4 linked regions of the Saccharomyces cerevisiae S288C genome follow. Changing the gene in region 4 together with the main gene of any one other region gives a genetic interaction. Each region holds a gene or a part of one and is shown on either strand. Other genes may lie near its edges. The genes, in order: HOS2, SWC5, SIF2 and CTI6.

What was found.
Region 1: mutations in CTI6 (region 4) and HOS2 together harm fitness more than expected from each alone (negative genetic interaction), as found in Saccharomyces cerevisiae (4 studies listed by BioGRID, with this or other methods).
Region 2: mutations in CTI6 (region 4) and SWC5 together harm fitness more than expected from each alone (negative genetic interaction), as found in Saccharomyces cerevisiae (5 studies listed by BioGRID, with this or other methods).
Region 3: mutations in CTI6 (region 4) and SIF2 together harm fitness more than expected from each alone (negative genetic interaction), as found in Saccharomyces cerevisiae (4 studies listed by BioGRID, with this or other methods).

Annotation. Positions count from the first base shown.
Region 1 is NC_001139.9:137,169-145,534, reverse strand, and holds HOS2 (histone deacetylase HOS2), read left to right. Parts: upstream 1-3,808; coding exon 3,809-5,167; downstream 5,168-8,366. Other genes in the region: COX13 (cytochrome c oxidase subunit VIa), read right to left, coding at 338-727; IME4 (mRNA (N6-adenosine)-methyltransferase), read right to left, coding at 1,487-3,289; YGL193C (uncharacterized protein), read left to right, coding at 3,308-3,619; YGL194C-A (uncharacterized protein), read left to right, coding at 5,574-5,816; GCN1 (Gcn1p), read right to left, coding at 5,992-8,366.
Region 2 is NC_001134.8:680,448-688,650, forward strand, and holds SWC5 (Swc5p), read right to left. Parts: upstream 2,644-8,203; coding exon 1,732-2,643; downstream 1-1,731. Other genes in the region: COQ21 (Coq21p), read left to right, coding at 1-115; telomere maintenance protein PBP2, read left to right, coding at 2,981-4,222; DAD3 (Dad3p), read left to right, coding at 4,530-4,814; ARC40 (Arc40p), read right to left, coding at 4,991-6,145; VHC1 (Vhc1p), read left to right, coding at 6,454-8,203. UniProt on the Saccharomyces cerevisiae protein: Component of the SWR1 complex which mediates the ATP-dependent exchange of histone H2A for the H2A variant HZT1 leading to transcriptional regulation of selected genes by chromatin remodeling. Involved in chromosome stability.
Region 3 is NC_001134.8:445,795-450,520, forward strand, and holds SIF2 (Sif2p), read left to right. Parts: upstream 1-1,914; coding exon 1,915-3,522; downstream 3,523-4,726. Other genes in the region: exocyst subunit EXO84, read right to left, coding at 1-1,529; YMC2 (organic acid transporter), read left to right, coding at 3,873-4,726. UniProt on the Saccharomyces cerevisiae protein: Antagonizes telomeric silencing in yeast. May recruit SIR4 to non-telomeric sites or repression.
Region 4 is NC_001148.4:198,829-207,712, reverse strand, and holds CTI6 (Cti6p), read right to left. Parts: upstream 4,293-8,884; coding exon 2,772-4,292; downstream 1-2,771. Other genes in the region: TCO89 (Tco89p), read right to left, coding at 66-2,465; tRNA (34-2'-O)-methyltransferase regulator RTT10, read left to right, coding at 5,177-8,218; mitochondrial 54S ribosomal protein bL36m RTC6, read right to left, coding at 8,337-8,618. UniProt on the Saccharomyces cerevisiae protein: Component of the RPD3C(L) histone deacetylase complex (HDAC). Responsible for the deacetylation of lysine residues on the N-terminal part of the core histones (H2A, H2B, H3 and H4).

The sequences.
Region 1 (8,366 bases), on a different chromosome or scaffold from region 4:
CAATTATTAATCCGACATCCCTTTATCAGGACTTCTTTCATCACTTCACCAAAACGCGTGGAACATAAAAATAAAACGTCTTAAATTCTTCTTCATAGGTGCATGTTTATGTTTTTAAATGCTTATACATTTGCAATATAATTATATATATATAGATGTTTAAGAACGGAATGATGCTTCGCCGCCCAAAATACCTAGTACCTTTAGTTCCTATCAAAGGATTAATCTTTTTTTATTTTGAATTTTTTTTATCGAATATAAAAGAAATAAGTAAGAATTAGTAAAATTATCATAAATAAAAATTTTTCGAAAAGTTTATTCTCACTTAATCAATTAATTAATCGTCGTGCTCGATGTGCCTGTTGACAACAGGATTCCAGAATAATGTCTTATCACCGTCACCCCAGAAAAAAGGCTTAGACCTGATATTCATAAACTCGTAATCCCTTGGCCATTCGGAGTCTGGCACATGTTTCAAATGTTCACGATGCTCAGCATGCTCCTTTTCAACAAAGTATGTGTTCACAGCTGTTAAAGCAATTGCTGGTAGGGCGACCCAAACTGAGATTTTAACCCACATATTAGATGTGTCCTTCGCATGCTTTTCAGTGGCCATTAATGATTCTTTAAATTTTTGAGCTGCCACTTTATCTGGTGGGCCAAATGCAGGTTTCAAAGCATTTGGGGGTAATGAAGATGCATATCTCTTAGCACACTGTCTAAACATTTTTCTATTGTTTGTTATTTGTATAACTGTAGAACTGTAGTAATATGATTTTAAATCTAGATAAAACACATGCGATGTGTAGTGAAAACGTTCAAGGCAACGTGTATGTTTGTTATATTTAATGTATCCCGTCACTCATCGTGATCACATCCCAGCTGGGGGTTATTTTTCGATTCTCTTAGACCGATACTCCCAGTACCGCCTCTCATTGGTGGGAAAAAAAATTACCCGAAATTACTATATTGTGTCAATACCGCACCATATCACTACATTCATAGCGGTATAATCGAAAGGATAGCGGCGTTGGGTTACTACTATCGTCTACCTATTCAGCAGGATAGCTTACTCTGTATTAGCAAATAATAGTCGTTCTTCGCTATTCCCACAGTTTCCAGTAAGAACGATTGGAGTAGAAAAAAAGAATGGTAGAATGCGCCATGGGAAAGAACCGACCAAGAGTGGGAGCAAATAAGTCAAGTAATTACATTAGTAGTGTTTAATGGTTGAAAATATGGCCAGAACTAGTATTAGCTTTCTCCAGGCGACAACAATTTTTAAACATCCGGGTAATAAATTGTTCCAGTTGATGTAAAAAAATACACGGACTCGGATAATAATTATTGGACATAAACCATATCCTTCTCTATTCCAAAGTTTGTCTAATACAGACCAGGAAACCATTTACTTCCCGCTGCAGTCTTTTTTATGACCATCTTTTTTATGCAATGCTATTAATGTTTAAAAGGATTATTTAACGCTTTACTGAGCAAAATATAGGTTATTTAGTGTTTGGAATTGTTGTTTTTGTTGCTGTTTGGATTCAAAGGGAGTATGTTTTTGATTCATAGGATTCTGCTTGGCCTCAGCATAATACTTACCACTCCCCATATCCATATTATTCCAATACTGCTGCTGATGCTGCTGCTGTAATTTTGAAGGTTGCTTTTTGTCGATTTTTTTAGTACCAGTGTGGCTGGTTCCAGTTTTGCTCTTCATAAACTCCTGGTACTTCCTCTCGACATCCATTTCGTAAATGCAATTTCCTGTCAACTGGTTTCCGATGGTAAACCAGCCAGGCCGCGTATTGTGATCCCTTCCGAATATCTCTAGTTTTCTGGCATGGGTGCCTGCCAACCGTTCTGCTATACCATACAGTTCATCAGGCTTTCTACTAGTCTCTCTGGTCATTGATACGATCAAATCGACGTCAATATGTTTGTTGATCCACTTTGGATTACCCTTTAAGCCCACCAATAAATGCTCCTTAGAATGATTTAACCAATGACCCGTACGACCTGTAACAATTGTTCTACCCAGTTGGTTTGTCTTTATCCATGAAACTTCATTTATCACGTTGTAACCCCAGTTATTCAAAGACTCTTTACCCAATTCTATAGCTCTACCCGTCACCCAAAGAAAAATAATACCTTCATCTTGTAGTTCGTGCAAAGGCAAACCTAATAGTTCAATATCGTTGCAAGTACCGTATGGTAGGTTCATATGGATATTCCATGCAGGATCTGCAATAACTACCGAAAACTTTCCAAGAACCCTAAAATCAAATTTCCGCACATCGCAACGGATCCACTGTGCAGGTAAAGCCTTTTTGATACAATGTGCGGAGCAATTGCCCAGAGTATAAAATGGAATGGAAACGTTTGACCGTATTCTTTTATTTTCACTCGCAGTTTCACGATCAGCTCGCTCTTGCAAGCATGACGGAATATATTGCAGGTAATGAATGTATCGACACGTATTTAATTTATGACAGGTATCCAAATAGGAACAATCTCCTAACGAAATATCAGTTTGTGGTTTGATATTAGGGATAAAGTGAATTTTTGATTGAATGCACTCAATTAATCCTGGGTGATTTTCCTGACATGCGGATATTTTGGACCATTGTAAAGAAACGATTTTGTTATTGACAATGTACACCGAGGTGGACAATAGAGATGCATGCGAATAGTCACTACATATCGGGATGTATTCAATGACCTCGGTCGTGTATTTGGCTCTTTCTTTAGCAAGCTGAAAAGATGATGGTTTTTCCCTCAATAAATTTTGTAAGCGATTGCTCAGTTGTTCACGTGGTAACCCCTGGTTGCTGACGTTAACGTCCCAGTTCAGGACTCCAAGCAGTCTACCCAGCAGTTGGTCTTTTTCCGAATCAGCTTCCGGTTTTGTTGTTAAACTCGACACTTTTTCTTCACATGAAGAACTGGACGATTTTAATGTATAGTAGAAGGCATGGAACTTGTTATAGAGAATTTTCAAGGAAAAAACGTCCAGGTAAACAATTTTTTCTGGCCTATCTGCCACTAATAGATTCTGGTCAAATTGAATGGACTGCGGCGTTGCAAATATAATATCCTGAAGATCATTCCAAAACTGTTCAAACTGTAAGACCTCGTCTTTATCGTTTCTCAACTTCTGCATCTCATCATCGTATCCGCCACTGATGTACAGTGAATACACATCTTTGAGCTGTCCAGAAAGCGGTGCTCTTAGGATGTCATCATAATTCTGGATCAGAAAATGTACTAGTTTATCGTTAATCATAGCCTGCTTACAACTTTTATGAATTCAAGTCTGAATGCCAATTCTTATTTTTTTCGAAAACCCCCAATGCTAACTTATATGGTCCGTTTTCTTTACTGTTATCCATCTCCCTTTCCTATAGCTCCAGCGGTTACCGATCTTCCAGAATGCCGGGGAGATCTTTCTCTTTCTTTGTTTATAACAAGTTTCACAAGCACGAAAGAAAGAACAATACTGTACGCCAAAAGCCGCCTAAAGACGCATATTCCCGTCAATTTATGTGACCGGTACCACTATATACCTAAGGCACCTCTATACCAATGTAGAATGCCCTGTTTATACTCTATATAGAGGATTCTCGATGTTCTTTGGGGCATCGTTAAACGTGATATTCCTACTATGTTACTAAATGTTGAACTGAAAGCATCTTGAAACGATTCTAATCAGTTTTAGGTGTGTCGCCAATGTACAGTTATAGAAAAGACGCCAGATTACTCAAGTACGTTAAAATCAGGTATCAAGTGAATAACAACACGCAACATGTCTGGAACATTTAGTTATGATGTGAAAACAAAGGAGAACGAACCATTATTTGAGTTTAATTCTGCTTATTCTCCCAGGGTATCGTATCATTTTAACTCCAAAGTTTCACATTACCATTATGGTGTTAAGCATCCAATGAAGCCGTTTCGGTTAATGCTAACGGATCACCTAGTTTCCTCTTATGGATTGCACAAGATTATGGACCTTTATGAAACAAGAAGCGCTACCAGAGACGAATTACTACAATTTCACTCGGAAGACTACGTGAATTTTCTCTCGAAGGTTTCACCAGAAAATGCAAACAAACTGCCCAGAGGCACACTTGAAAATTTTAACATTGGAGACGACTGTCCTATTTTTCAAAATTTATATGATTATACAACACTATACACTGGTGCGAGCCTTGACGCCACCAGGAAACTAATCAACAATCAATCGGACATAGCGATAAATTGGTCTGGTGGTCTTCATCATGCAAAAAAGAATAGTCCATCTGGGTTTTGCTATGTAAATGATATTGTGCTTTCTATTTTGAACTTATTACGATATCACCCAAGAATCCTTTATATCGATATCGACTTACATCACGGCGATGGTGTCCAGGAGGCATTTTACACCACAGATAGGGTCTTCACGTTGTCTTTTCATAAATATAATGGCGAATTTTTCCCAGGAACTGGTGATCTGACAGAAATTGGTTGCGACAAAGGAAAACATTTCGCATTAAATGTACCCCTAGAAGATGGCATAGATGACGACTCATATATAAACCTTTTCAAGTCAATTGTAGATCCTCTAATAATGACTTTCAAACCAACACTTATTGTCCAACAATGCGGTGCGGATTCCTTAGGTCATGATCGCTTAGGATGCTTCAATTTAAATATAAAGGCACATGGAGAATGCGTAAAATTTGTCAAATCATTTGGTCTACCAATGCTAGTAGTGGGCGGTGGAGGTTATACACCTAGAAATGTATCACGGCTTTGGACCTACGAGACAGGAATTTTAAATGATGTCTTGCTACCAGAAGACATCCCCGAAGATATCCCATTCCGGGACTCATTCGGGCCGGATTATTCACTTTATCCTATGTTAGATGACTTATACGAAAACAAAAACAGTAAAAAACTACTGGAAGACATTAGAATACGATGTCTAGAAAATATCAGATACTTGCAAGGAGCACCAAGTGTCAGAATGGATGCTGAATGCATACCGACACAAGATATAAGTGCCCTGACAGAAGAAGAGGATAAAATCATTCAAGAAATGAATGAAGAAACAGAAGCAGACAGTTCAAATAGGCTAGAAGAAATGGAAAAAGAAAACAGTGGATTGATTGCCTTTTCATAGTTTAAGAGTTTGCTATTCGGTTAATCTCCCGTTTTTTTTTTTTTTTTTTTTTTTATTTTCCTTTTTTTTTTTTTAATGTTTTTAGCATATTATGTAGAGTGTTAAGGCCTTAAAAGTTATTTGCATCATTGTTAAAAATGACATGTATTGTATAAGAGTTCGGCTCTTCGATGCCGTCAGAAACATTTTTGGAAGGTGCACTCCGTATTCGAGACACTTCTGAAACGGACAAGTCACCAAACTACTCTGAAAACAACAAAAAAAAGCCTTTTCTTATAATTTGAAAGCTTCTCCCGCAGCATTATCGATATCGTGAAACTTCCAAAATCTTTCTTAATTAAACCGGACATCAGTGTCTACAACATTAGAGCAAGTCACTCAGTTCATGTAATACATCTGGACAATTATGTCTAATAAAGAGATAACTTGTATCAAACCGTTTAAAATTATTGCTCTAATTTTATTGATAGTTCTAATAATAAACCTCTCTTATAAGTTATTTCTGAGACGCTATTTAAAGTCGACAGTTATTTGGTGTTTAGGAATCGCCAATACAGATCGTAACGATATGATGTGGTGGCAAGTCTCGCCACTATTAGAGCGCTGGGTTTGGCAGTTAGTTGACAATTATGAATCCGGGTACGAATAATTATCAAGCCCTTATTAGCTACAATGCTGGGAGCAATAGATATATAAATAACCCTTATGCACAGCGGAAGACTTCAAAATATCTTTGTCTTTTATATCATTATGTGGTATGTATTATATAACGAGAATAATATATCAAATACAAAAAGTAACGAGGTTACCACATTGAATTTTCTTCAAATATCAGTGGTTAATTCAACACCTCCGACAGCCCATATTTCTCTTTCATCTTCAAATCTGTCACTAAACATTGTTTCCGCGTCTCCTCCGGCAGCAATCCTTTCTCTTTCGACATTTGCTAACCTTTTACCAACCCTCTTGGTATAGTCCCCAACAGACCGTAATTGAATTGTAGTACCTGTGACAGTTTCGATGCTGTTACCGCGATCTGAAATTTTAGCAAACCACTCGTTGAAAGTATGCATGTCATCTTCTTCAACCAATTTGAACAAAGCTAAATATGCTTTTTCTGCTGCGAGCTTAATTGGGATAACAGGATCACGCAAGCAAGAAAATACAGATGGTCCTACTACATCGAAGTATTGCTTAATGCACTCGTCAAATTTGAATCTGGCTAGTGTTCTTATAACCACCAAGGCCAACCTTCTTACATCCGTAGAATTACTGGCTGGTTGTAAGACAGCTTTGCTCAACTCATTAATTAACAGATTGATGTTTTCATCGCCAATTTTGAATGGTTCTGCAGCATCCTTTTTAACAAATGGAGACCTCTTTTCTCCTTCTAATAAAAGTAATTTACCAGCAGCAATGGTACCATTTTCTCCGAAGTAAACATCAGGGGAACGGATTGCATTCAAAATGTAACTTACAAATTCGTCTATCAAGCCCGTATTGAATATATGTGTTGGTGCATCTTTCAAAAAGGAATTCAAAGTCAGAATAGCAAACTTACCGGTTTCTCCATCTAGATCTGCATTCAAAACCTTGTCTTGCAATATCTTGTGGGCTTCGTCGTTCGACAAAATCTCTGATAACGATCCGATTAATTTAGCGTAAGCAACTGCCAATTTGTCATTGCTACCCAACATTTCTTCCTCAACTAAATTGACAATGTTTGTCTTAGAATTTTCGTTTAATTTGGAACCAGCCTTCATAATAACTTCCAGTAAAGCTTTAAGCATCGCAGTCTTGACACCTTCATCTGTGGCTTGCTTGGCACCTGTCACCAGTTCAATGACTAGAGGGTCAACACGAGGCTGATGTTCAATCAGGGCACCAAGAGCCTTTGCGGCGCGGAGACGTAACGTTTCATTGGTAGCGTCAGACAAGGATTTAACAAATGTTCTTTGTAATTGAGGGATAAAAGGCCTCAAGAACATTGGAATCTTAATGAATAGCACATTAAGTGCAAATAAAATTGCTGCTTTGATATCACTACTAAATCTTTCACCCACGACACGAATTAATGGACCAGTAATTACGCTCACAAATGGCTTCAAGTTAGCGGCAGGGGTCTTCGAAACAACGTCAGCAATGGCTAATGCAGATTCTTCCCTTTCATCATTCGAACCATACATCAAACCATGCAAGAAAATAGGCAAAACACAGTTAGGGCCTCTTGGAAGCTTAAATGCAGCGACATCTTGACCTTGCCTGCCTGTTAATGCCAATGACTGTTTAGCAGGCTTAACTAATTTTTCTAAGGTGGGCTTATCAACCTTCTTCAACAAAGTAGACAAAGCATTGAAGTTACCATTAACAACCCTTTGATCTTCATCATCTAATGATAAAATTGCGTGAGAGACAAAGTTCGGAATATAGACATCAAAATCAAGAACAGTCTTATCGAAGAAATTTGGCAAACGTTCTAAAACAGCTATGCGTTTCTCTATATTATCACTCTTTAGTAGTGACATAATCTGTTGAAGTAATGGGTGAAGACCTTCGTCATCATTCACAGATAAGAATACCCTGTCTAATGCAAGTTCTAATGCACCCTTGGTCGATTCATCTTCAGAAGTACCTATGATTGCATCCACTAGTGCGTTGATTATAATTGATAAACGCTTGTATAAGGCTGAGCCAGCAACTTCCGCCAAAGAACCTAAAGCAGAAGCCCTGAAGGCGTCTATTGGAGGGGCTAATAGGGTTGGAATTAAAATTGGGAAGATTACGTCGGACTTCTTCGACATAATTTCTTGTAAACCTAACAAAGCAAAGTCAGAATTATCAGAAGATTCAAGCATATGCAACAAATATGGTAAAACTTCATCAACAGCAGTTTTTCCTACAACATCTTGGAATACATCAAAAGATAATGCAGCCGCTTCTCTGACAGTAGCCGACTCATCAATTAATGCCGTACGAATAATGTTAACGATGGTAGATTGGAACTGTGATATCGTTTCCGTAGAAGCCGATTCAATTAACTCATAAAGAGCAATACAAACACCTTGTCTCGAATCTGAGTTTGATGTTTCTATCAAAGATTCCTCCAAACTTGGTAACAGTTGGGACAAAGCATTACCACCTACACGACGGACAAGATCACCTAAGGTCTGAGCAGCAATGTTGCGTAATACATTGGATG
Region 2 (8,203 bases), on a different chromosome or scaffold from region 4:
CATGTGTGAGTACGTGCGCACGTCCAACGTCTTGAGTCGCTGGACTCGGGACAGGCAATGGGAAGCAGCTAAGGCCCTATCACAACGGGTCAAGAAAGAGTATGCCGCCAATTAGTGCACACACATACATATATTTTATATACTTACATATTTGGTTGCGTGGTATATAGAATCTCTCCTTTCGCTTCATGAATGAACTCATTCATGCGAAGTCAAAGGAAAAAAAAAATAAAAAAATAAAAGAGCGAACGGGAAGACGAGAGAAACATCAAGCGACCAAAGTAAAAGTCAAGAACGACTCCACAAGTGCGAGGGTCGCGACGTCTCTAACTTTAAAAACAGGCGTCAACCATCAAGTCCGTTTCTTGATGCCGCCGGCATTCTTCAAATCCCTCCAAAAAAAACGCCTCTATGACATAGGCGGTTAATAAAACTGGCCTTGAAACAACAGATGCAGTCATGGCTCTTCTCTTTTCCCAGCAAACGCCTTCCATTGCCTCCTTTTTTTCTCTTCCAGAACTCTCTCAGCAGTATTCTCACAAACACATCTCCTCCCCTTTAGCAAACCTCCATTTATATCCTGCGAGAAGAGCTCCTTCTCCTCAATGAGAAAATAAGCACAAAATAAACTGGGAAAAAAAATATAGTAAAAGACGCCAGCACGTTAACAATGGAACACTCTTATTGTAGACCAACCCCACCCTACACCCCCTCAAACCGAGGACACTTCAAAAGGAAAATCAACAACTTTGGCCGATACTTGGGGGATAAGCAAGCTTATCCTATTACATCAAAAAAAGAATCGTAAGACACCTTTCCTTGCAAACCAAAAATCATAACAAAGTCGAAAAACTTCCTCTTGCAGCGCCACCAGAAAAAGAAGACGAGCGAAGAAATCAACAATAAGAGCGCCCCATCCGCACTAGCACCCCATACCATAAATATTATCTCCCAACCTACTATAGCACCATTTCTTCCCATCGATAAAGAAAAACCAAATCCCGCGTTGGACATAAACGGCTCGGAAAGACAGGGAAGAGTATGAAGCAAAAAGCCAAACTAAGGGAGAAACAGAAAGCTAAAAAAAAGAAAATAGAAAACAACCAGAAGAAAACAAAAACAATAACCTTGAGCAACCGTCGTCTCAAAAACCAATTTCGAAAAACCATCATAAAAACGCCTTATGAAGAAACCATGAGCGAAGAAAAATAGCAGCAAAAAGTAGTGAGACCTGACATTAGCGGAAAACAACTTGCTTAAAAAGTCTCTTCCCGTCCATTTTATTATTTTGGGTGCCAAAAAATGTGTATTGTAACAAATTAAAAGGTAATGAGCCTCATTGAGGTCATTTCAGTTGTTACACTGAAAAGAACAGATACTACACTTGATCTAAGCCAAAAGGCAAAGAGATTCGTGGGGATTTAAAAAAAAAACAAGTAGAAACAAAATGAATAAATCTGATAACAAGTAAAGTACTCATCGATGAAAAAATGAATGTAGAGCCCTTTTTATATGTTTTCACCGAGTGGCCCATCGGAAACGGCAAAAAAAAAAAAAGAAAGAAAAAAGAAAAGAAACATAGAGCGTTGCTAGGTTTTTTTTGCCACCCACACCCATACACCCCATTACTTTGTCTGCAGCATCGTTATACACGTAGTGAAAGTGTGCAGGCCTCGGCGGTTAAAAAAATTTGAGCAGAAAAGCATGTTATTTAATACATGTAATATTTGTCTATGAAGCTTCGCTATCCTGCTGCAACTGCTGAGCAAGTTGTTGCCGGCGCAATTCTTTGTATCTCTCGTCCTCTGCAGACCCGACCCGCTGCAGAAATTCTTGCCGGGCCAAGAACCCATCCTTGTTGTGCAGCACCAATTCGTCGTTAAGTCCAGCACGGTCTACATAACTAGCCCAGTCCAGCTGAGATTTTTCTAATGTCGTTAGCTTGGGTCGTAGCCCGCCAGAAATGATCTGCTCCAACAATGGAGGCCTTTTCAGTGGCCGTCGCAAGTGTTGCCGGCTTTCATTGGACTTGGTCCTAACTGCTTTTTCCAGTTGAACAGGAGCAGCAGGCGCCTGCTGCTTAAATTTCAAACTGTTTAGATATTCTTGACCCTCCGCACTGCTGCGTGAAACCCATTTTTTCTCATGGACAGTTTCACCAGCAAACTTGTAGTTTCTTTCGATGAGGATTTTGTCCTCCTGTTGCGCGGCCGTTGTCGACCTAGCCTCCTTGGAACCGTCGAGAACAGAGCCGACTTTCCCTGAACTGCTCAAAAGACGGTTCTTACTAGCTTCCTGTAGCTCCTCCCAGATGCTGTTTACTTTTGCAGGGATCGATTCAACAGTTAACGATTCATACTTATGTGTTTTCGCATATTCTTCCTCAGCTTGCCGAGCTCTTCTAGTCTTGATCAGTCCGCCGCTCTCGCTCTCTATACGCGAATAGTCCACTTTATTTCTACCCTTATCTCTGTTCACACCGTCATCATAGTCGTCACCGCCATCGCTGGCATCACTATCGTCGCTACCACCACCTAATTTATCTTTTTCAGGCTGGAAGTCCTCGTCCTCCTCTTCTATGTAGCCGTCCTCGTCCTCGTCCTCCTTTTCGTTTGGTATAATCTTTGTCTCTACTTCTGGCATTTATAGGCTAGTGGGTTTTCTTTCTTGAAACAATATTATTCCAGTTTACGCCTTTTCGTCTTTTTTCTTACTTGTCGATTAATCCTATTCATCATCTTTAAACTTCGCTCTTTAATTCACTTTTTTTTGTCTTTCCCCGATATGGTACTTACACGAAATATCATGATACAAAAGAAAACACGTACATACTCGTCAAACGATAAATACGCACCTAGTCGTTAGCCGCATAAGTAACCTTTTTCATATTCAAACTTATCCATAGCCACATCCACTCTAACAATTTTAATCGTCCAGCGCGGCATTAAATAATCTTTCTGTAATACTCTTTAGCTCAATTATGTCCACAGAGACTACAAAACCATCAATCACTACTACACCAACTACTGTACTCGTTTCTCCCAACACGCTCAAAAGGAAAAAGGGTGAAGACACCAGCGAGGAACAACTGGAAGCAGAAATCAAACGCGTGGCCCTGAAGGATGCAGACAGCCACTCTGACAACGACCACGATTCCCCCGACAATGTTCCCTCTGATGTACATTTACGAATGCTGTGCTTAGTCAAACACGCTTCACTGATAGTAGGACACAAGGGCGCCACTATATCTAGAATAAAATCCGAAACCTCTGCTAGAATAAACATATCAAATAATATCAGAGGTGTTCCTGAAAGAATTGTTTACGTGAGGGGTACTTGCGATGATGTAGCCAAGGCATACGGCATGATAGTAAGAGCGCTGCTTGAAGAACATGGTAACGAAGATAACGGGGAAGACATTGAGATTTCTATCAACCTATTGATCCCTCATCATCTTATGGGATGTATAATTGGCAAACGTGGGTCTCGGTTAAGAGAAATTGAGGATTTGAGTGCAGCAAAATTATTCGCGTCCCCGAATCAATTGCTGCTTTCTAACGATAGAATTTTAACCATTAACGGGGTTCCGGATGCTATCCATATTGCTACTTTCTACATTAGTCAAACATTGCTAAACTTTCAGATGGAATCTCCGCAGAAAAATGTGAAAAGGTCCATATACTATCAGCCAACTCAGTTTAACTCAGTATTAATAGACCATAGCCAACCGAACACCATTTTCCATCAAAGAAACCACCAATATCATCCAAGCGATAAACTACTTTCATACAAACCCAACAAAAATTTACCAATATCATCTACTTTGTTGAGTATGGCCACACCGCAGTATACTACTGCTAGCGTTGCAAACGCAACGGCCTTTCAACCGAACTTCGTTATCCCTAATGTGACAGTCTTAGACGGCCCTGTTATCAGTCCGGCACCCGGCAACCATTTATTAATGAACTTTGTACAACAAGAGATATTCATAGATGAGAAATTTGTCGGAAATGTCATTGGCAAAGATGGCAAGCACATAAATTCGGTCAAGGAATCCACAGGTTGTTCAATTATTATACAAGATCCTGTAGAAGGCTCTTCGGAGAGAAGACTTACCATAAGAGGTACGTTCATGGCGTCCCAAGCTGCTATTATGTTGATTAGCAATAAAATTGAAATTGATAGATCAAATGCTGAACGTAAAAGAAGGTCGCCCCTCTAAATATACTGCTAGTCAATAAAAACACATAGAAAATAAAAATACAGAAACTACAAAAGGCAAAAAAAATAAAAGAAAAGGTAATAAATTGAATGAATGTAGATATATAAATATCAATAGAAATACGTACGCGGAATTATTTCTCTTTGTAACAAATTGATCAAAAGCTTTGTATTTTTTTTTTTTTTAGCTCGGCTGCGCGCTATTACAGTAATTACATGTAAATAAACTATTCCAAAGAATACAAAAGAAGAGCTTACAGTAGCCAGTCAAAGTCGCTGTGAAACATACACGGCGTTGTAGTCACAGTATGGAACACAATCTTTCACCTTTACAGCAAGAAGTATTGGACAAATACAAACAGCTTTCTTTAGATCTAAAAGCTCTGGATGAAACTATAAAAGAACTAAACTATTCGCAACACAGGCAACAGCATTCACAGCAAGAAACTGTATCGCCAGATGAGATACTACAGGAGATGAGGGACATAGAGGTCAAAATTGGTTTAGTTGGGACACTGCTAAAAGGTAGCGTGTACTCGCTTATCTTGCAAAGAAAGCAAGAACAGGAGTCTTTGGGTAGCAATTCTAAATAATGGTTTGGTGCAAGAAATTGATTCTGATGCTTTATTTTTTACGGTACACTACATTGTGCTGTGAGTTGTAATAATATAGTCTGTATATGCCAAGTGAAGAAAAAAACAATACAAACTCAAGGTGTATTATGAGGTAGGGAATACACATAACAATATATATATATACGTATGTATATTTAAATTGTATAAATGACGATCTTACCGTCTAACCCACAGGAAGAGACTTGTGTGATTTGGCCGTTGGATTCCGCAAAAGGTCTTAATTCCACAATGGCGTTTTCATGTGCACTTTCTTGGACATCTGTGCTAACTTTACCTTTCAAGTCTAATTCTTTAAACTTTCTCAATGCGGAAATACCGAAAGTTGAACTTTCATCATTATTACCACTCAGCTCGTCTGTATTACCAGATGCAGTTAAGGCAGAAGACTTGTTATTGTCTGATTTGTCTAGATTCTTCGCAAATTTCCAGCCTTCAGAGGCTTCGCTGAACAATACCGGATGACAAGAGTATCCTCCACAAACAATCTCGTGGTCGTTTATCCATACTAAGGACCTGTAAGGTAAACCTTCCGGAGCATTGACAGATTGCACTGGAGATTGGTAATCGACAACATTCAAAGTACCATCATGCGCTACATAAGCAATTCTTTCCATCTGACTTCTCCATTCCACATCATGGATATAAGAACCCTGATACCACTCCCTGATTAAACAACCAAAAGGGAATTTCTGGCCCCAGGGTGATCCGGCGACGGATTCCTTGGAATCCAAACCCTTGATAAACCCGCTGAACACACGCATAAACCCATCAGTACCACCAGCAGCTAATAGGACTCCATTTGCATGCCAAGACAGGCAATTGATGGTAGATTTGATGGGTTTCTTGATGTGCTTGGATACCCACCAATTATTCTCGTGTTCGTAATAACAAACAGCGATGATTCTAGCACTGGACCCAACAGCAAACTTATAACCATTTGGTGCCCATGTAACTGAAGTAGCTGCTCTGTTAATACGAAGAAGTACTAACGTGGGCTTGTATGTCCCATCACTCAATGGCTCCCAAACGTAAGCATTACGGTCTTGGGAGCAAGTCACAATACGACCATGTATGGAAATGTCCACAGCAGTAATGGTTTTATCATGATCTTTCAACGTTGCGAATAAAACGGGAGGTGTGTTGTTTGAAACTCTATAGACAAGACAATCTGTTTCGCATGTAACGGCTAAAATAGATTTATCTTGAGAAAAGCAATGAGAGTAGATTGGCGCTTTGACCAGCTTGTAGACGGCAACAACGGACTTGTCTTTAGAATTGGAAAATGACATTAGGAGACTCTCAACTAATATACGTTTACTTCGGCTTATTTTTCCTATTTTTCTTTGTTTCTAATCTGGAAGCTTTCTCGATCAAGATTGCTCTTATTTGACCCTTTTTCATTATAGGCAAGGCGCGGGCGGGTGACAAGAAGATTTTGATAATTGTGCAACTGATAACGTAGGATTCATTATCAACATTGTTGTTAAAGAGTAACAAGGAAATCTAAGAAATGGTTGTGCTTGTTGTCGAAGAAGTGATAGAGACAGTGTTTTTGCCAGCCAATTCTCTTTAAGAATAGGCCTTTCTTGTAGGATTAATGGTTAGTAGGTTTTATCAGATTCCAGGTACGCATCGGCCATCGTCGGCAATATCTTCTTCAAATGAATCTTCTTCACTGTTGTCTGCAAGGAGAATAAGTCAAACATATTTCAATTATCAGGCGACCCCTGAATGCCAAAAAGTTTCCTCTAAGTATGATCCTGATAACCCAAACAAAGATAAGTTGGGAACATACGATGGGGTATTTGTGCCTACTGCTTTAAACGTATTGTCTATCCTTATGTTTCTTCGTTTTGGCTTCATTTTGGGTCAGTTAGGTATTATATGCACCATCGGTCTTCTGCTATTGAGTTACACTATTAATCTTCTCACCACGTTAAGTATATCTGCTATATCTACAAACGGGACTGTTAGGGGCGGGGGTGCTTATTATATGATTTCAAGAAGTTTAGGACCTGAATTTGGTGGATCCATTGGGCTTGTCTTTTTCTTAGGGCAGGTGTTCAATGCAGGTATGAACGCAGTGGGTATTATCGAACCTTTACTCTATAACTTGGGTTATTCTGCTCAAGGCGAGCCACCTGCAGCTTTGGGAGAGCTACTACCAAGAGGGCATTGGCACGAATTTACATATGCCACGGTCATTCTTTTCTTATGTTTTTCTGTGGCTTTTGTTGGCTCGCAAACAGTGTCAAGAGCAGGGAATATTCTTTTTTTGGTACTGGCAGCTTCTATATTTTCCATTCCACTTTCTGCATTGATAAGATCGCCATTCACTGAAGGCGGTATCAGTTATACAGGTCCTTCATGGCAAACTTTTCATGATAACCTGCTCCCTCACTTAACAAAAGGTGCAGCAGGTTCGTTACTCAAAGGTAAGGAAACATTCAATGATTTATTTGGCGTTTTTTTTCCTGCTACAGCTGGTATATTCGCGGGCGCAGGAATGTCAAGTGAATTGAGAAAGCCCTCTAAATCAATTCCTAAGGGTACCTTATGGGGTTTACTTTTCACTTTTATCTGTTATGCCGTTGTTGTCTTCTCCATGGGTTGTTCCATTCCCAGAAGATCGTTATATGATGAAGTACAAATTATACAGACGATCAGTTCCGTTCAGTGGGTTATATTCATGGGTGAAATGGCTACTTCTCTTTTCTCCATCATAGTGGGGATGCTCGGTGCTGCTTATGTATTAGAAGCAATTGCAAAGGATAACATTATTCCTGGTTTGGAGATTTTTGCTCATTCACCGTTATATTCATTGATTTTTACTTGGATTCTAACACAGCTATGTTTGTTTTCAGACGTCAATAAAATCGCCACATTTATCACAATGACATTCTTAATGACGTTTGTGGTCATGAATTTGGCGTGCTTCCTATTAGGTATTTCCTCTGCTCCCAATTTCAGGCCCTCTTTCAAATACTTTAACAGGTATACTACAGCAATTGGCGCATTACTTTCTGTTGTTGCGATGTTAATAGTTGATGGCATCTCAGCGTCTGTCTTGTTTTTGGCTATGATTTTGCTATTTTTATTCATTCATTATTTTTCACCACCGAAGTCTTGGGGTGATGTGTCTCAAAGTTTAATATATCATCAAGTGAGAAAGTATTTGCTTCGCCTACGTCAAGACAATATTAAATACTGGAGGCCTCAAATATTGCTGTTTGTAGATAATCCAAGGACGAGCTGGAACTTAATAAGGTTTTGCAATCATTTGAAAAAAGGTGGTTTGTATATTTTAGGCCATGTTGCAGTAACTGCGGATTTTCCGAAGCAACTAA
Region 3 (4,726 bases), on a different chromosome or scaffold from region 4:
AAAAGATATTGATCCATTGCGCCTGTTACATTTCGGCCAGGAGTGATTGAACCCCCCATACTACGTCTTTTGTTTTTGTTAGGGCTTCTGTTGTTTTCTCTACCTGGGGTTTGTTGCGTAGATTGCAAATATCTAAAGGACTCTCTAATACGTTTAGAGTTCTCCTCTTCTACATGGAATATGTCGCACAAATCATCCTTAGCCTTTCTTATAACGTCCAACAACCTAGAGCATTCGTCTGCGTCTCTACATTCATACAAACTTGAATTCGAATTGCTAAACTTGAAAAGTAGCCTCTTAGTGGAAAATTCCTCTTGCGTGACAGTGACATCCTTTAAAGGATAGCACTGGCTTACTATAAAGTCATTTTGCTTATCTCTTGATTTATCGGCGATAAGTACCAAATCATTCAAAATGAAAATCTGTACCATCTGCAAGGGTTTACCAGTGGTAGTATTTAATTCCATCCAATTGGCACTATTCATTAAAATATGTCTTCCTTTCGTAGAATTGATAAACTTCTGAGCACCTTCAACGTTCTTAAACAGCTGATCCAGTTCCGTATCCCAAAATTTCTCTAATATCAAGACGCTCGATCTGTCCCTCCTCATGAGATTCCCATTTTGTCCTGCTTTCAAAGGCGGAAGTAACGCTGGACTATTAGAATGACTTTCAACATTGTTAAAATTGCCTTGTCTCTCTTGATCTATTTGATCCTGCAATTGTAACCTTTTTTCAGCTATTTTGGTGCACTGATCCAAAACCTCGTTTAAATCATTTATATTTGCTCTAACCCTTTTAAGCTCCAACATAGCAACATTTAGGTCGTTGTTTACCGTCATGATTTCGTTATATGATTTATTGATATTTAACTTTACTTCTTCTTGGACCTGTATCGATAAATCTGTTAAATTTGAGGTAAATTTATCAATAGTAATGGCACTCGCATTGCCTAGTTTATCATGAACAAAATCTTTAGCATTAAAATGCGGGTTTGCCAACATCTTTCTTAGCGACGTGCTATTATTGAAAGGATCATTACTGCCGGAAGGATTGACAGTATTTCGCATTGCTGATCTAGCAGGCACCTTATTATAGGAGCTGTCGTTCAGGGAGAGATCGGCAGTTGAAAGATTTAAACTGTTGGAAGGGCCTTTAGAGCTTACCGATTCGTTCTCAGTGGTGAAACTACTATTATTATGACTACTATCCACATTATCATTGGGAACTATCATGTTTGGCATATCAGGTAGGGGCATTGAGTAATCTAGTGTAGGTGGAGCATAATTTGTATTATGAATTGATAGTCTTCTCTGCATTGAAGTTGCTACCCTACTTCTCTCCCTTGCATTGATTGTTGGTAGCGTATAACTGGTAGCCGGATCCTTGAGATCACTATAAGGGTTCTTTTTTGTTTTTTGTTTAGGCTTAGCAGGCGATGGAGGTGTCTTTTGCTTAGCAGGAGAGCTTGCAGACTTCTTTACATGCTTCCAATTGTTTCTGGCCTTCTTCAAAGAAAACTCAACCATTTTCACAGTACAAATATTTCAACTTTCAGTCTCTTACCTGGTCTAATATGAAGGCTTTTTGTTCATTCGGCTTTGCTCAAGGTCTTACAAATATACTATTAACTGCAGTCTCTAGTCTCTTTTTCCAGTCATCTATTTTCATGGAGCGGAACTTAGCAAACGAGAAATAAACAAAAATGATTAGGAATGTATTCATGTTGAAAAGGTTATGAGATATGCAAGACCATTCGTTTTGATTTGCAATTAGTGAGAACAATTTAAACACCTTGGTGCGAAATTGAAGGTTTTTTTTTCCAAAGAAGTGTACAGCCCACACTAACAACTGCTAACTCAGATAAAAATAACAGAAACAAAAAAAAGGTAGGGAAGGCCCATCACACGGAAAATGAGTATAACAAGTGAAGAACTAAACTACTTGATATGGAGGTATTGTCAAGAGATGGGACACGAGGTGAGTGCATTAGCATTGCAGGATGAAACAAGAGTATTGGAATTTGATGAGAAGTATAAAGAACACATTCCTTTGGGTACACTGGTGAATCTAGTACAAAGGGGAATCTTGTATACAGAAAGTGAGTTAATGGTTGATAGTAAAGGTGATATCAGCGCTTTAAATGAACATCATCTTTCTGAAGATTTCAATTTGGTTCAGGCGCTGCAAATAGATAAAGAAAAATTTCCTGAGATCTCTTCTGAAGGAAGGTTCACTTTGGAAACCAATTCCGAGAGTAATAAAGCAGGTGAAGATGGCGCTAGTACTGTTGAAAGAGAAACCCAAGAGGACGATACTAATTCTATTGACAGTAGTGATGACCTAGACGGATTTGTCAAAATACTGAAGGAGATAGTAAAATTAGATAATATTGTTTCCTCCACTTGGAATCCATTGGATGAATCTATACTCGCATACGGTGAAAAAAATTCTGTTGCAAGACTAGCGAGGATAGTAGAAACCGATCAAGAAGGGAAAAAATACTGGAAACTCACGATAATAGCGGAGTTGAGACATCCTTTTGCTCTGAGTGCAAGTAGTGGTAAAACGACGAATCAAGTCACATGTCTTGCTTGGTCACACGATGGTAATTCAATTGTCACGGGTGTAGAAAATGGTGAGCTAAGACTATGGAATAAGACGGGGGCACTTCTGAATGTTTTAAATTTTCATAGAGCACCTATAGTATCCGTTAAATGGAACAAAGATGGAACACATATCATATCCATGGACGTGGAAAATGTCACTATACTCTGGAATGTTATAAGCGGGACCGTCATGCAGCACTTTGAATTAAAAGAAACCGGTGGCTCATCCATCAACGCAGAGAACCATAGTGGCGATGGTTCACTTGGGGTTGACGTTGAATGGGTAGACGATGACAAATTTGTCATTCCTGGCCCTAAAGGTGCTATATTTGTATACCAAATTACAGAAAAAACGCCCACTGGTAAACTTATTGGACACCATGGACCTATCAGCGTTTTGGAGTTCAATGACACCAATAAACTTCTACTTAGTGCCTCAGACGATGGTACTCTAAGAATATGGCATGGCGGTAACGGCAATTCTCAGAATTGCTTCTACGGACACTCACAAAGCATAGTATCGGCATCATGGGTCGGTGATGATAAGGTAATATCCTGCTCGATGGATGGCTCCGTTCGCCTATGGTCGCTGAAGCAGAATACGCTATTGGCTCTATCAATCGTGGATGGTGTCCCAATTTTTGCTGGAAGAATATCACAAGATGGACAGAAGTACGCAGTTGCTTTCATGGATGGGCAGGTAAACGTCTACGATTTAAAAAAACTGAACAGCAAGTCACGAAGTCTTTATGGTAACCGTGATGGGATTTTGAATCCATTACCAATTCCCCTCTACGCTAGCTACCAAAGCAGCCAAGACAATGATTATATATTTGATCTGTCATGGAACTGTGCGGGAAACAAGATTTCTGTAGCATACTCGCTTCAAGAAGGTTCAGTTGTAGCCATATAATAACTAGGTACAGTACATAAACAGATGAATTTTATCATTCTTATTGTTATTTCTTTGTTTACAAAAGGTGAAAAGTGAAAAATTTCGCAATGGAAAACGTCGCGGGCCGCCTTTGAGTGACGTTGTGCAGGAATCTCGAAGAGTCATCACTTTGAAGATAACGGCCGCTCGCGATGAGAGAAGACAATGAGCATTGCTTTTTTATAATTTTTTATACCTTGTGTTAAAATAAGTTTCTTTAATTAGTTTTCACCTCTTGGATGATACAACTGTAATTGATAAATAGGGGTAGCCATAAAGAACAGAAAAAAGCGGCGCAATAATTTCGTGTATTACAATTACAGTTAGTCATGAGTGAAGAATTTCCTACGCCGCAGCTTTTGGATGAATTGGAAGATCAACAGAAAGTTACCACGCCGAATGAGAAGAGAGAGTTAAGTTCTAATCGTGTGTTGAAGGATATTTTTGCGGGTACCATCGGTGGTATTGCACAAGTTCTTGTAGGGCAACCGTTTGATACAACAAAAGTTAGGCTTCAAACAGCCACCACAAGAACAACAACGTTGGAGGTATTGCGTAACTTGGTAAAGAATGAGGGTGTGTTTGCATTCTACAAAGGTGCGTTAACACCGTTATTGGGTGTTGGTATATGTGTCTCAGTACAATTTGGTGTGAATGAGGCGATGAAAAGATTTTTCCAAAATTACAACGCTTCTAAGAACCCGAATATGAGCTCACAGGACGTAGATCTTTCACGTTCAAATACTCTGCCACTATCCCAGTACTACGTTTGTGGGTTGACAGGTGGTGTAGTCAATTCATTCTTGGCATCGCCCATTGAACAAATAAGAATTCGTTTGCAGACGCAAACATCTAATGGTGGAGACAGAGAATTCAAAGGTCCTTGGGACTGTATTAAAAAATTGAAAGCTCAAGGTGGATTGATGAGGGGTTTATTTCCCACAATGATAAGAGCCGGACATGGGCTTGGTACATATTTTCTTGTCTACGAAGCATTGGTTGCCAGAGAAATTGGTACGGGACTAACAAGAAACGAAATTCCTCCTTGGAAATTATGCTTATTTGGTGCATTTTCCGGGACAATGTTGTGGTTGACAGTATACCCATTGGACGTTGTGAAATCCATTATACAAAACGATGATTTACGAAAACCTAAATACAAGAATTCCATTTCTTACGTAGC
Region 4 (8,884 bases):
ACTTCGCGTTTTACCTCGAAAGCATTAGCTACTCTTTTAAACTGTGTGCTTCGTGTTGGTTGTTTTCACCTTTGTTGTGGCTGTGTATGCATGTAGCCCACATTTTCCATCCTGCGATTCACTGCCCTCGTAGTCGGCTGCAGAGAGTTAATGACGCGTTGGTGGTGCAAAGTCGTGCTGGAACCCATCGGGCCCCTCAGCAAGTTACGTGCATTCTGTGAAGCAGTGTGGCCAACGCTGTGGTTTGTACTCGTTGTCCTATTCTTGTTGATTGGATTAACATCCTTGTTAAATAAGTAACTTTCGCTTTTCCATATACCGGACAACACTGCCTGAATCTTTGCACTTGCAAGATGTGGATAAAGATCATCAAATTTTTTGTCATAGTTAGTAAAGAGCAAATCGTCCTCATCCTTATGATCTGTATCACTGCTAGAATGTGCGATTGACTGAGCATCGTTATGGCTTTTTTTCCTGATATTATTTGCATTTCCCGTTATTATAGGTTGTACTCTCAACAATGCTTCATCTAATGGGTTGTAAAATCTTTTTACATTAGAGTATTCATGGGATATTCTCTCAAACTCCCTTTTCGCATCAATGTTTCCTGCCATAAAGATAGAGTCACTACCGTCATTTTGTGAACTTAAGTCCATAATAGAATTCTCCCTCTGCAACCATAATTTTCTTTGTGTTCTTGATTCTGCATCAATCCCATCTGATTTAAGGAACTGGGCGAAGCTATTAAATTTGGCACCTGAGTTGGATTGTCTGTTTGCATCGCTACCGGAGTTCGTACTAGATGTAATATGTTCGTTGGACAATGGAGAGGCCGGGGCTGCAGAATTTTTGTTGAGATCGTTGGATCTCAGAAGTAGATTCTGATTACCTTTCTTGTGAAAAATATTATTCATTCTTGAACCATGGAAGCTTTCAGGAGCAGCTCTCCTCAAATTATTGGTTAAACTCGATATGGAGGTCGAAAAGTTGTGCTGTGGTACATTATTATCTTTACTACCGATGTTAGCAATGGTGGGGAAAGTAGACTGAGAGTTCGGTATATTTTGGCCAAGTTGAGATCTTCCACCATTTTTCTTGCTCTTGCGCAATTTGCCATCATCCAGTTCATTAAAAGTATCACCTGAAGCCATATGCTCACCCGAGTCATGAATTTCATTCCCAAGCGAATTTTGGATGGATGATGAATTTTCAAATCTACGTTCAACTCCAGTCGACTGGGAGAGAATCATATTAGGCGCATAATTTTCCAGTAAGCTATGCCCTTCAATATCCTTGGTACCAGCGGAAGAAATATCATCAGGCTTGATTAGATCTTCTTCTTCGTTTAATAATTTGTGTTGTTTAGAACTTTGTCTCCTAAGAGACATAAAGCTCGAGTCGCTTTTTCTTGATGAATTACTCCTAGGGGCATCAATGTGATCTTCCTGATCAAACTGTTCATCTGAATGACTTGGTTTTTGATTACTTTTATGTGCAGCTAAGGTATTACCAACATCAAGAATTTTTTTTTCTTTATCATATGGTGCTTCTGATATATTATCGCCCGCTTTAACCAATGAGGCCCTCAAATTTTGAGAATGGCTGGACAAGTCATCAATATCAGCTTCCTTCGTCACCTTTGATTGCCCCTCTTCATTGATTACACTTGTTGCATTCAGTTTTGTTTCAATTGAGCTTGGAGATGTTTCTCCATCTTTCTGATGTTCTATAGAATGGCTTGATTCTCCGAAATAGTTATTGGAAGATAAATGAGGTAATGGTAAGGATACAGCTCTATGATTTTCCTTTCCATCAGTACCTGATTTATCTTCTTCTTGTTCATCTATTGAATCCGGGGATTGTAATTCATTCTGATTTAATTGCTGCACATTCTTTTTTTCTTCAGGCATAACATGCTCGGCTATTACTTTATCATTATTCACCTTTCCATCTTCAATGTTGTCTTCCGAAAAACATTCCACCTCCTCGTCAGTAGTAGATTCACTCTTTTTAGATTCTTGCGCATCTCGAAGACTCAGAACAGATTGGGTACTTTTACTTCTTCGTGGTTTCAGGCCGAAACCAGCAGTTCCAGTATTAGAATGACTGCTGTTCTTTGGACTGAGCAGCGTATTATGCACCGGACTATGAAAGGATGCTGATCTTTTTCCTTGATTGGACTTTACTCTTGTTAAAGCTGTCATATTCAACCCACTAATCGTTCGCTTTCTGAAAAGTGCATCAGAACTCTTGCATTTCTGAGAAACGTTGTGCTTATTAAAATAATCATTATCCAGGGTGCCATCATGTGTTAAAACTCTACGCAAACCTTTGAAGCTTGCGTTACTCTTTGCTCTCGACCTAGTCGAAAACTGTCTAAATGGCTTTGACTGGTGTGATACTGTTGACGCATTAAGAGATGTTACATCAGTGTCTGACTTCAAAGTCCTTCCTCGATGAACCATAATTATAGTTACTCAGTAAGGATATATGATATATCCCAATATCTATGTTTACCTGACCCGTAAATCGATAGAATGTGCTAGTCCATTAGATGTTTGGATTCCTTAATCATCGTGCCAGCCAAATCGCTATACCATCCGCAACTAGCTATCCTTGCGGTTACCCGTACAAGAGTAAGCTCGGTTGATAAAAACAACGTTGAATTAGTCGTTTTTATATCCATATAGATGTATATATATGTATAGATGTGTTTGTTCGCCTCATTACAGTTATACTTTGGTTGAGAATAATATTGCAGTGTTTTGCGTTTATTGAATGGCATTAGTGTTATTTGAATATTTTTTCTCCCATAGTAGTAACTCTCTAGTCAGGTCGTCCATCATTGATAGACTTTCATTATAACCGTTGTAAATCGTATCAACTTTTTCTACGAAATGCTGGTTTTCCACGAATCGTACAAATTCCTCTCGATCAGACTGATCTTCACTCAATTCCCATTGAGTTCTAGAAATGAACTCCAAAATAGCGGATACCCTTCTTCTCATTTCGTTTAATGAGGTCCTTTGAGGGGGTAATCTGGGCTTTACTGGTTTGTCGGTACCTATATCAGCACTCCTTCTATTTTGGTTGGTGTCTGAACTTGTATTGCTTCGACGAGTTCTGTTGCCCTTTCTTGCTGGTTTGGAAACTCTTTTAGAACCCCTCGAACTAGCTTTCCTTGAATCATCCTCAGAAGAAGATATTGAGGTTAGGGGTAGGATGGGTTCATCAGTTTTCTCAGTGTCTTGCGCCGAACCCGTAGAAGATTCCTTTTCTTGACTAGCTTCTTTTTCCACATCATTTGTTTTTTCCATTGATTGCTCTTTCGATGGTCGTAGGCTTTCTTTCATATCATCATTTGTTACCGAGTCCGGTTTGCCTTCCGTTAGCATAACATCCGTTTGTAATCGAGTGGTGCCGTTGTGATTGTCGGTATCACCTTGGTATATATCAGCATCATTTTCATAACTTTCAGGATCTTCTTGATGTGATGTCCTCCTGCTTTCTTTCAAGGCTTTTTCAAGCATTCTTTGATATTGCTTTTCTTCTCTTGCCATGAAAGTTGCCCTTTTTCTATCCAGTAGCTTCTTATCACTATCTCCAGGATCCAGTGAATACTGATCGGTAGAAGCATCATCCATTGAATTCCTCCTCCTCCTTCTACTTGACCTCGTGTTGCCGTCCTTGGCTAATGCTACAGCCGAAGCTTCATCTTCTACTTCATCTTCTTCGTCGCCGATATCGTCGACGTTATCATCGGTATTGCTGGTATTTCTGGGACTTTTCTCTGCTTCATTGGCGGCATGAGATTTACTTGCAGCTGCACTTCGTGCCTTCCTTCTTGATTGCCTCCTTTTCTCTTGCACAGGTTTATAGATTGACCTTGCTTCGCCAGTATCTGTGGTAAAGAGCTGATGTAACTCCGGTCTGCATTGCTCGCACCAATATTTATCAGGTGCGTTGTCTTGAGTAATACTCACACAATAACCGTGCTGCCAGGAACTGCACTGCTCACATTGAATGAAAAATCCGGAGTCATCTGGAGTATCGAGCTCTCCACAGATACAGCGAGTTTCGCCTTCCTCTTCCTCGACTTCCCCCTCTCCACCTTCCATAGGAACATCTTCTTGTTTTACACTTTCTTCCTGTACACTTCCAATCGCCGCCGTTGTTGTCGCTGTTGATGTTGTTGATATAATGTCTGTGGACCCACTAGCAATGACTTCCGCTTTCTCCATATCTTCACTACCCACAACAGGGCCTTTAGGCACTATTGCTGTCGATTCCATTACTCTTCTCTATACTCCTATATGTTTATGCTATCTTTTAGTAAGGTTACGCAAAGTAAACTTCGAAGGAAACAAACTATTGATGGTCTCTGTTGTGAACTTTGTACCCCTGTAAATACCCAGTTACATAAAATTCATATACGAAAACCAACAAGAACAAAAAAGAAAAAACTAATCAACAAAACGTTATTTTTTGATCATGCAGTGAAAAGCCACCAATAGAAAATTGAAAATAGAAAATGCAGCTGATTGTGCTGTGCGGTTTACCTAGTTTACCCATAGCGGAGAAATTTTTCAAAACTAATTGATTACGTTAAAGCCTGTCTGCGACGTGCTCCGTCCTATTTCCGCAAGATGATGAGGGTAATGCCCTTTATAACTGCTCAAAATAAAAAATAACCGCCGAGGTCTTTTTAATTATCAAGGTTATAAGAAGTGCCAGAAGTGGGTGAACTTAACTCAATAAAAAAATATTAGTGACGAACATCTATCAAAAATTGAAAATTGAAGGTACTGCTCAGAGAAACTGAGTCTGGTCTTGCCTACATCTTTAAGAGGAATTTGTTCTGGTGTATTATTTATACAGCCGATAACATTGATGATACTCTCAGGGTCATTTTCACGTAGTCGTGCTTTGGTGAGTTGTATACTACCCTACGTACTTTTCACCGCTTATGTTTTACACTGGGGTCTGAATGATAGATTTAAGCCTAGCATACACATCGGCGTCTCACAAAAAACGACGCTGCTGAAAAAAAAAATGTAAGAAAAAAAAAGTGGAAAAATATGAGCATGAAAAAACTTCTGCTAGCGGACCTCATCGTTATTTAGCTTCTCATTCCCGCCAATTGAAGTTGCTCATTGAAGAAGAATAAGTGATTAAAATGAAGGACTTGTCTCATTATGGTCCTGCGCTATGTGTTAAATTTTACAATGATTATGTTCTAGCTGGTTATGGGCCTTTCATCCATGTCTATGACTATCATTCGGCTACGTTGATTAACAAATGTAGGCTATTTCACTACAATAAAGTTCATGGACTTAGCCTTTCTAGTGAAGGGAAAATTTTGGCCTATGGTGCAAGATCAGTAACAATAGTGGAACTTGAAGACGTTTTAAAGAAAGAGTCATTGGTGGATTTCGAAAGGATTAACTCAGATTGGATTACCGGTGCTACATTCAGCTTTGACAACTTGCAAATATATTTGTTAACATGTTATAATAAAGTGCTAATTTGTGATTTAAATTGTGAAGTTCTTTTTAGGAAGTCTCTTGGGGGAGAAAGATCTATTCTATATTCCGGTATAATTAAAGTTTTCGGTCCGGATAAAGTATATGTTAACGCTGGTACTGTAATGGGCGGTGTTATCATTTGGGACCTGTTCTCGGAGACAAAAATTCATAACTTACTGGGTCATGAAGGTTCTATCTTTTATGTTAATTTAAGCAACAACGGAAGATATGTTGCCAGTTGCTCTGACGACAGATCAATTAGACTGTGGGATTTAGAAACTGGCAAGCAGCTGTCTGTTGGCTGGAGCCATACGGCAAGAATATGGAATTTAATGTTTTTTGATAATGATTCAAAACTAATAAGTGTTTCTGAAGATTGCACATGCCGTGTATGGAACATTATCGAATCACGAGAAAACGTTGCCGAATTATCCATATCTAACGTTTACGAAGTACATTTAATCAAGAGTATATGGGGCGTTGATGTGAAAGACGACGAAATGATAGCTGTAACCTCCGGGAATGATGGTAGGTTAAAGCTGATTGATCTTCTTCAACTGAAGAGACACGGCGATGAAGAAACATCGTTCAGTCTAGATGATATCGCAAAGCAATGTGGCGATATTTTCGAAAAGAATGAAAGTATCAAGGGATTTCAATGGTTTTCATTCGGTGTAATTGCTATCACTTCATTGGGTAAAATACTTAAATACAGTGATGTCACGAAACAATGGAAGTTGTTACTAACAAATGAAAAATTCAACTCGTATCCAATTACAAATGGGATTCAAACGCAAAATATCGCTGTCTTTTCCAATAATAAAAGTGACATCCTTCTTATCAAATTTAGCAAAGATAGCGCTGACATAATTGAGACCGAAGAATTCCATTTAGATGAGCTTTCTAAGACAAATAACTGTCTCGTTACAGAATACGATGATGACTCCTTCCTATTGACTTTACAATCCCCAAATCCTCGAGAGAAGTTTGTATGTTTGGAAATAAGCCTTCAGAACTTAAAAATTAAAAGCAAGCACTGTTTCAATAAGCCGGAAAATTTTTCTTCCTCATGTTTGACCTCCTTCCGAAATCATATTTTAGTCGGCTCACGTTTTAGTACATTAGTAATCTACAACTTACTTGATGAGAGCGAGGAGCCCTTCATAATTAGGAGATTAAGTCCCGGAGACACTACAACCTCAATCGAATTTGTAGAAGATAAAGACAACTCTGCGGTCTTCTCAGTAACAAATAGGGATGGCTATTATGTATTTATTGAGTTGACGAAAAACAGTTTGGAAGAGGGTCCCTACCGACTAAGTTATAAGGTCTTGCATTCTAATAAGATGATGAAAGGTTTCTTGGAGGGCGCTTTCTTTAATTCAAAAGGTGAATACATTACTTATGGGTTCAAGTCCAGCTTGTTTTATCTCTACAATGAAACCAACTGTTATGAACTAGCTAGTGAAGTTTGTGGTGGTTCCCATCGTCTGTGGAATCTCGCAAAAATTACTGATGGCCACGTATTAATGTATATTAAGGCATCCCGATTTCATTTAAGGAAAATTTACAACTCCATTGTGCCTGAAACTTTAGAAAATGGTGTACACGGAAGGGAAATCAGAGATATTTCAATCTGTCCTGTTTCAAATACCAACACGAATGACAATTTTAAGGATGGGCATATATTCTGTACTGCATCTGAAGATACTACAATTAAGCTGGGATATTTTAACAATAGAACAGGGAAGGTGCAGAATTTTTGGACACAAAGAAAGCATGTGTCTGGATTACAACGTTGTCAGTTTATAAATCACAAACTAATGATATCATCTTCAGCTAGAGAGGAGTTATTCTTATGGGAATTGAACGATAAGTATAATAAACGACCATATATGACCATACGACAAGCTTTACCTGTATCCACAAATAATTCTGATCTAAGGATCATGGATTTTGATGTCAAATTTATATCACAGTCAGGTGACTTCTTATTAGTTACTGTTTATTCAGATTCAACAATAAAGATTTGGCACTATAGGGAAAATCAGAATAAGTTTGACCTGATCATGCAAGGTCGTTATAAGACGTGCTGTTTATTCAACGTCGTATTTATTGCACTGAAAGAAGAGCTCCTTGTTGTCATTTCACCAACTGATGGACATTTAGTGGTTTATAATATAACCGAGTACGTACCATTTTCCGTTGATCCGATTTCTGGCGATTTGGTTGACCACAAACTGGACGCTACTATCTCAAATCTTCCCGCACCTGTAGCGCAGTTGCCGGTACATCAATCTGGTGTCAAGTCCCTAGACTATGTTGCTAATGCTACAAGAACTTCCGCCACAATTTTGACAGGGGGTGATGATAATGGTTTAGGGTTAAGCAACCTGAAATTAGATGACTCGAATAAAGTAACGTTAAAAACAAGTGACTTTATCGCTGCAGCAGCTTCTTCGACAATAACGTCCGGTATGTTGATTAATGGTGGCAAAGAAGTCATTACCACATCGGTTGATCAAGTAATACGCGCTTGGGAAATTACCGCAGGCAAGCTTTCACTGGTAGATAAAAAGCGTACCACTGTGGCGGATACAGGATCATTAGAAATCATTTCCAATGATGAAGATGCTGATTCTGAGAAAACGTTACTGATCGGAGGTGTTGGTTTATCAATTTGGAAAAAATGATACAAAAAATTAACATATACATAAAAGAATATTATAGATATGTATTATTTACAGATTTTAGAAAATGAGAATATTTTGTAAACACCCGAACGGAGAACAGCGAAGAGATTTACATCTTTCAGCCTTGACGCTGTTTGTGTTTTTTATTCGACTTGCAATAAATGTATACTCTTCCCTTTCTTCTTACCAAGTAGCAATCACTGCAGAACTTTTTGACAGATGTTCTGACCTTGAAACCTCTGTTAAAAACCAAAGGTCTGTTAGCTGCAACAAGAGCTGGTTGCGGAGCTGCAACAGATAGGAGGCTGGGCACTGTGCAGGCCCTTGTTATCGTTATGGGGGACGGTTTCATGTGCAAAAACATCCTTGGCATAGTTAGGCGGAGAGTCTGTAAAAACATTCTTTGAAATCCTTTCGCTTGCTGAAAAATTCTGAGATTTGTACTATGAACCGTAGCCGTTATATGCGAGTAGATCGAGGCTATATCCCAATGCCAATAGTTCCACGATTCATTCCCTTTCTATTTGGAATAAGTGCGAAGACAGAATTTTTAATTTCGGCTTGGGTGAGAGAAAAAAAAAATCATAGTTTCGTTACGCAGATAGTAAATAACTAATACATAGATAAAAGCACCACCTTCTACCGGACCGTCGTCATTCTCGGCAA